Linked DNA regions of Coturnix japonica. The protein of the gene in region 1 purifies or fractionates together with the protein of each later gene. This does not show direct contact. Links are inferred from orthologs where the notes say so. Each region holds a gene or a part of one and is shown on either strand. Other genes may lie near its edges. The genes, in order: KLHL15 and NUDCD3.

Region 1 (3,820 bases):
TGATCGGAAAGAGCTTGTGATATTTTCAATACTAGAAATAATTTATTTTTATTTTTATTTTATTTTTTCCTCAGGTGATTCATGGCAGGGGACGTGGAAGGGTTTAGCTCCTCCATCCATGACACCAGTGTCTCTGCTGGATTCAGAGCACTGTATGAGGAGGGATTGCTCCTTGATGTCACACTTGTCATTGAAGACCACCAATTTCAGGCTCATAAAGCACTGCTTGCCACCCAGAGCGATTACTTCAGGATTATGTTCACAGCTGACATGCGAGAACGAGATCAGGACAAAATCCATTTGAAAGGTCTGACAGCTACAGGCTTCAGCCATGTCCTCCAATTCATGTATTACGGAACTATTGAACTGAGTATGAACACTGTTCATGAAATCCTTCAGGCTGCCATGTATGTCCAGCTTATAGAGGTGGTAAAATTTTGCTGCTCTTTTCTCTTAGCTAAAATCTGCCTAGAAAACTGTGCTGAAATTATGAGACTTCTGGATGATTTTGGTGTAAACATCGAAGGAGTCAGGGAAAAATTGGACTCTTTCCTGCTAGAGAATTTTGTGCCGCTCATGTCCAGACCTGACTTCCTTTCATATCTGAGCTTTGAAAAGCTCATGTCTTACTTGGATAATGATCATCTGAGCAGGTTTCCAGAGATAGAGCTGTATGAAGCTGTTCAGGCCTGGCTGCGCCATGATAGAAGACGCTGGAGGCATACGGACACCATCATTCAGAACATCAGGTTTTGTTTGATGACACCATCCAGTGTTTTTGAGAAGGTTGGTGCATTTGAAAAGCAGTAGGCAGAATTCATCATTTAGCTAGGGCAGCATGTTGTTAAACAGATAAGATTCCCAGTCCTGTTAGGAGGAGCAGTAGACCCGTAGAAAACAAGCGTCTAGAAGTAATGCCATCTGATTGTTAGGCAATAGTATGTACAGTGGATGGAGGTTACAACAGGTAGGTTGTAACACATGTGTTTAAGTAACTTCGTATGGAAAGGACATCTTAAAACAAGGTCACGTATCAGGTTTTATTTCAGTCATTCTTTGTTTTCTGCAAGTTGTTTCTTGCTTCCCAGAGATTTTGTAGAGCATATATCATGACAGATGTTACTGATATAATCAAAACATGCTGACTGTAGATCTTGTGTCTTTTAAGTACGTTTTTCTTCTTTACAAATGAAAGTTGACATCTGCTGTTAAACCTGCAGTGTTTTTGTTTTTATTGTATCTTCAGTACTTGTGCTATTACAAAGCAGTTAGAAATTAGCCCTGATCCTGAAAAGTTAGACGTCCATTTGATTTTACTCAAGGCATATAATACGATCAGAAGTGTTTGACAGTGTGGAATGTAATGACTTACTTTAAATAACAGAGGAGTCTTTGTAAGAGGTGATAAAAAATTCAACTCATGATTGTATGTGTTAAGAGGTTAAATGAGAACTTGCTTTTTCTACTGTTCTGTTGAAGAATAGACAAAAAATGTTGCTCTCTGGTTTGTGAGAAACTTGGGAACATCTGACATGGGTAGAGAACTACAAAGCTTGTAAGCCACTTGCACAGGCTACTAACTGTAATACTAACTGTATTCAAGTTAGGAGTTGTTCAGCTTGTGCTGTTATGTTATGTCGTTGTTATTAATCTTGTGTGTTCAGGTGAACTTTTAAATTCTGTATTTTCCACCTCTTGGTGAAGTAGTAGGATTTAATGCCCTGTGTATTTTGTTGGGCTACTTACCATTATTTTCATACATTTTTGGTATCTATACACAGATAAGACTGTATTATAATTATAAAAGCTATTAATTATTTGAGACTGAGTTATTACATTCTTTTTTTCTTTTTTTTTTTTTTAACTTTTTGTGTGCGTGTGGATTGAGTAGACTTAATTTCCATTGACAACCCTTTATTAGCCTGTGGACATAAAATAAATCTAATTACCTAGAATTGTTTTAGAACACTAACGTGATGTTTATATCGTGTTAGAAATGATTCCTAGGATTCCTAGTAGGAGCTGGAATCTGCAAGATGCTGTGTAGTGTCTTGCTTGTAATAAAACTTTGACTTCATTGCATAATTTAAGGTCTTCATTAGGAAAACCGATGTCATCAGATATTCTTATAGTCAATCTAATAGGTTAAATTCATGTGAAAGAGTCTATTTCAGTTCTTTGAATTTTTGGAATAGAAGTTCAAGTATCAAACTGTTTTCAGTGAAATTTCTGCAAGCGCAAGTGATAGAATGGGTGTTGTGCTTTTTTAGGGTTCTATTTAGGTGTAACTTCTGAAGTTGGTTTTGGTATCACTGATGTCTATTCTGCACACAGAGCTTCTTGCAGTTTCTCTTGGCAGCTACAAGCAGCTATGACATAAGGAGAGATGTCTTTTTCAGCATCCCAGGCTACATGGTCACCCGTAAAAACTTTTTCCTGTGAATGTCCTATCCATTAATTGCATGAGACAATGGAGTGAAACCAGTCCAGTTTCTACTGTGGGACTGTTCTACACTGAGCAGAGGGGAGTAGAATTAAACATGCATGTCATTTGGCACTGCAGCTAGGTTGAAGAGCGCTGAGTAACCCAGGATGACCAGTGACAAAGGACATCTGCAGTTGAAGCTAATGTAAAAACATGACCGTGCTTTTAAATTTTCCTTTATTTAATGAAAGAGCATGTTTGTTAACTGTTCTGTCAGTAACTTGAAGGAAACACATCCGTTTATGTAGAAAGGGGAAAATACTAGTCACAGTGCTTTTTTGGAGATCAGAGAACAGATAAGAATTCATCCTTTGCTGAAGCACAGAAACAAATCCTGTGTGAATATACCAAGTACAGTCTAAGGCTGACTTACAGTTGAGCAAACTGAATTACACTCAGTGACTTGTCATATGTATTCTTATGTAACCTTTCTAATAGGCATTTCTAAGATGCCTGTCATTATACTGGGACATAAATAACTTACATAACTTAATTTTACATGTCACAGAAAGGACACTTCTTGCATTTTAAGCCATTCTGTTTCTTACAGCATTTTTAAGAGAGATTTACAATCTAAGAGGGATGGCTTGTCTTTTTCAAAGGGAAGTGATGAGTGACTGGGTTAATACTTCAAGACTGACACGAACCTGGGATGCACAAGGGAAGGTGTAGCCTGTGTGCTTACTCTGAACTGCCCTGGAAGAACTGCCTCTTAGGTAGGAATAGGTACTTCTGTTGTTGCTTGGCCCTTAACATAGATGTGTGAGGAAAATGGAAGGATTTGGGGAAATGATTGAAAAAGAGAGTTTTATGGCTAGGAAGCACGTTTCACCGCACATGTTACATTGGTCTTATTCGAAACCTATCTACAGCTCTGTAAGTCTTGAGGAAAGTTGAGTTTCTCTCTCTGTTACTGTACCATGACCATGTTGTTCCTTTCTTTCATATTTTCATTAATCTTCATTTAGCTTCTGTGTATAACTCAGATGACAGTGTTGTTTCAAAACCCTTTGTCCTTAAAACTGGGAGTTTTTTCTAATACTTTTTGTGTAGGATTTGTTACAACTAGTTCATGCTGATTTATAAATTCCCAGTTTAAATCAGAGATGTATTAACCACTGGAAGTATCAACCTGTACTTCAGAGGTAGGATGAAATGCATATTAATAAGTCCATCTTTGAGTATGTGCTCAGCAGATCATCATTTTTGAAAGATGCCATAATTTTATGTCACTGTGATTTTGTCTTTAGAGATATTCAGCACTTGTTTTTCGGTGTTTTTCTCACCTCCATGTCTAGTGAATCATGTCGAATATTTTCTACAACTTCATGTGCT
Region 2 (3,545 bases), on another chromosome or scaffold:
TCACCGGGGACGGACGGGGCGGGACCCCCGGAGCCACGGGCCGGCGATGTGCCCCGTGGCACCGTGGGACGCTGCTGCCCGCCGGGGGACGAACGGGCGGCGGCCCTCGAGTGGGGCTGGGACACCGCAGAGCCCCCACAGAACCCCAGTGTCCCTATGGTTCCCATGGTGCCCCATGCAGCGCTGCCCTCGTGGACCAGCTGCGCCCCACAAGTGACGGAGCATCGCCCCCATAGGCGGCATCGCCCCCACCCGTGTCCCCGAAGCGGCTCGCAGAGCCCCGCGCGGGGCACAAGGTTTTATTGCCGTGCCGACCCGGGGCTGGGACACGCGTGGAGCCCGTGGGGCAGAGCAGGGCGTGAGCCACCACTGAGGGAGCAGCCGGGGGGGGGGATGAGCAAAAGAAGCAAAAACCAGAAATATCCTCAACCACCAAAAATAATAATTATGTCACCAACGAGCTCCGTCTATTCCTGAAAACAACGGAGCCGTCGCCAGCGCGAGGAGAGGAGAGGAGAGAGAAGGGCCCGGTGCTGGATGCCGGTGTGGGTGGATGGGATGGGATGGGATGGGATGCGGATGGGATGGATATGGGAGGTGGATGGGATGGGATGGGATGGGATGGGATGGGATGGTGATGGTGAACAGGGATGGGGATGGTGATGGTGAACAGGGATGGGATGGATGGTGATGGATGAACAGGGATGGGATGGGATGGGATGCCACCCCCGTGCTGTGCTGATGCCGGCTGTGGGCACAGGGCATCCCACACCGGGTCTGGGGTCTCCCCTCCCCACGTCGCCGCTTGTCCCGCTTACACCGGGGTCAAAACTGCACGGCGCCGGGCGAGATGTTGAACATGGACGGGTCGAACTTCTGGCCGCGGAACGGGGAGCCCTCGGTGTCCCAGCCCTTCTTCAGCATCTCGTGCACCTTCTGCAAAGAACAGGGGGGTTTGTCACCGTGGGGCTGCCCCACACCCACCACCCCTGCCCCAGGGGGACATTGAGGACCCCCAGGGGGACAGGGCCTGGCTCCCGGCTGGGGGCACCCACCAGCTCGTGGCTCTGCGGTTTGCCCTGCAGCTTCTGGTGGTAGTCGAAGGTGAGGCGGTCCAGCACGGCGTGCTCCTCCTCGTCCACCGTGGCCATGGAGCGCTCCTTGTTGATCTTGTCGATGTCAATCTGCTCCTCGCCCTCCAGGACGGCGTTCCACCAGTACTCGTCCCCCTTGTTCAGGTTGATCTGGGGACAATGGATGGCTCAGGGAGTGGGGGATGTGTCACCCCAAACCCATCCAGCACCCTGAGCCCATGTCCCACCATGGGACACATCACCCTGAGCCCATGTCCCACCATGGGACACATCACCCTGAGCCCATGTCCCACCATGGGGATACAACACCCTGAGCCCATGTCCCACTATAGGGATACATCACCCTGAGCCCATGTCCCACCATGGGATTCATCACCCTGAGCCCATGTCCCACCATGGGACACATCACCCTGAGCCCATGTCCCACCATGGGATACAACACCCTGAGCCCATGTCCCACCATGGGGACACGTCACCAGGTCAGGGGACACAGTTGTAGCCATGGCCTGTGCAGACATCAGAGCATCACAGCCATCCTCCATCCCTGGTGGGGCAGCCCAAGGGAGGGGGGACGTCCCGTTGTCCCCAGCCCAACCACAGAACGGGGGCAGCCATGAAGGTTTGGGAGCCGATATTGGTGCAGGGGGTGGCTGTGCTCAGTCCTCCTGGGAGAGCAGTGCTGGCACAACAGCGCAGCGAGCTGAGGGCGGTGGGTTCCAGCACAGCAGCGAAGCACCTTCTGTCAGGCCAAACCCTGGGTGCTCACCCAGCACTGAGCACTAGGAGCACACAGCCATGGGGTCCACAGCCCCATAGCGGGCACACAGCCATGGGGTGCGTGGCCCCATAGCGGGCACACAGCCATGGGGTCCACAGCCCCATAGCGGGCACACAGCCATGGGGTGCGTGGCCCCATAGCGGGCACACAGCCATGGGGTGCGCGGCCCCATAGCGGGCACACAGCCCACACGGCAGGGCTGGCAGTGGGTGTGAAGCCCCCCGCAGAGCTGCAGCCCACGGCCCCTCTCCTCCTCCCAGCCCGGCTTTATTTACCACGTCCCGCTCCCACCCTGCTGGGAAGGCAGAATTATTCATTTCCTCGGCAGCGTTTCTGTGCATCACCGCCGCTCTGAGAGCTTTGCAAACAGTCCCAATGAACCTCTGCGGCCCACCTTGCGCGTGGGGGGGGTTTGCTCTGCCCCCGGATTCCAGGGGGACAGGACCGAAAGTGGGACCCCCCCCTGAGTCTGCAGCCCCACTTCCTAACAACCTCCAAGTGCCGGCAGGGTCACAAAGCTGCTGAGCTGTGGGTTTGGGGTTTGGGGTTTGGTTGGTGGTGCGGGGTCGGTTCCTTGCATGAGCGCTGCTCCAGCCGTGCTGTGCCCTGGGAGGTGGCCATGGAAGGTGGCTGCACACTGGAACCCTGCGGAGCTCTGCCAAGGGAACAGGGCTTCACCACAAGGACGGATAAATCTTGACCTGATTACGTTGCTCTTGTGCTCTGCCCCAGCTCGGAGCTGCAGGGAGGATCGGGTTCCAGGTGCCTCATGCTCAGGTTGCACATCTCTGCTTTGGGACCGGCAGATGCTGGAGCTGTATGAAGCCACGGGCTGGGGCAGGATGGGCTGCAGGGAGACCTGTGTGCTGCAGCACCGAGCGTCACCGTGTCACCTCCCATGTCCCCATATCCTGCGAGGAGGGGCCCAGTCCTTCGCTGCGTGTGCTGCGCTTTGCCATAGTGATGGGTTCCCTCCTGGATCCCGAGTGCTGCGTCAGATCTGGAGGGATGGGATGCTGCCAAAGGGTGGAAGCAGGACTTGGAAAAGCCACCTCCTGCCACCTGCTTCCCTTCCGACATGGCAGCAGCGGCCCTGGGAGCCAGCGGGGGACAGGAGCTGCTGAGGGGCACCAGGGCAAACTTCCAACGGCACATGGAGGTCGGGGAGTGCCACAGATTGTTATTAACTCCCCGCTCAGGAGATGACAGGCAAAGGATGTAAGAGCTGCTCGAGACAGAACTGGGTGACCAAAGCCTGAGCGTGGATCACAAACGTTGGAGAGGAGAGAAAGAGGGAATGGGGGAAAAGCTCCTCAACAACAAAAATAATCCCCAACGTGTTGTGCACAACACCCAGCAGAGCCTTCTAAATACGGCTCCTGCGAAGCTATTTTCATCTCCCTTTTGACAAGTGAGCAGGCGTGACAGCGAGGGGAGAGCACGGGGATTACGGCCGGGCTGCGGCGCCGGGCAGAGCAGGCAGCTCCACAGCCACAGCCCACGGGGTTCTGCCTCATCTGGGTGCCAAAGAGCCATGAAAGCACCCAAGGACATGAAATGTGCCGAGGGCTCGGCCAGATCTGGGAGTGAGGGGAATGGACAGGCACCGTCCAGACAGCGAGCACAGCGCTGGCACACTGAGCATGGCTTCATTGTGCCCCCATCTCACTGGA

Evidence for each region.
Region 2: the proteins of KLHL15 (region 1) and NUDCD3 purify together in Homo sapiens (co-immunoprecipitation; 3 studies listed by BioGRID and IntAct, with this or other methods). This does not show direct contact. The link is inferred for Coturnix japonica from reciprocal best matches to the Homo sapiens genes KLHL15 and NUDCD3.

The regions. Positions count from the first base shown.
Region 1 is NC_029516.1:107,470,621-107,474,440, reverse strand, and holds part of KLHL15 (kelch-like protein 15), read left to right. Parts: intron 1-74; 5' UTR 75-81; coding exon 82-786; intron 787-3,820. UniProt on the Homo sapiens protein: Substrate-specific adapter for CUL3 E3 ubiquitin-protein ligase complex.
Region 2 is NC_029537.1:91,026-94,570, forward strand, and holds the end of NUDCD3 (nudC domain-containing protein 3), read right to left. Parts: intron 1,245-3,545; coding exon 1,056-1,244; intron 937-1,055; coding exon 826-936; 3' UTR 702-825; downstream 1-701.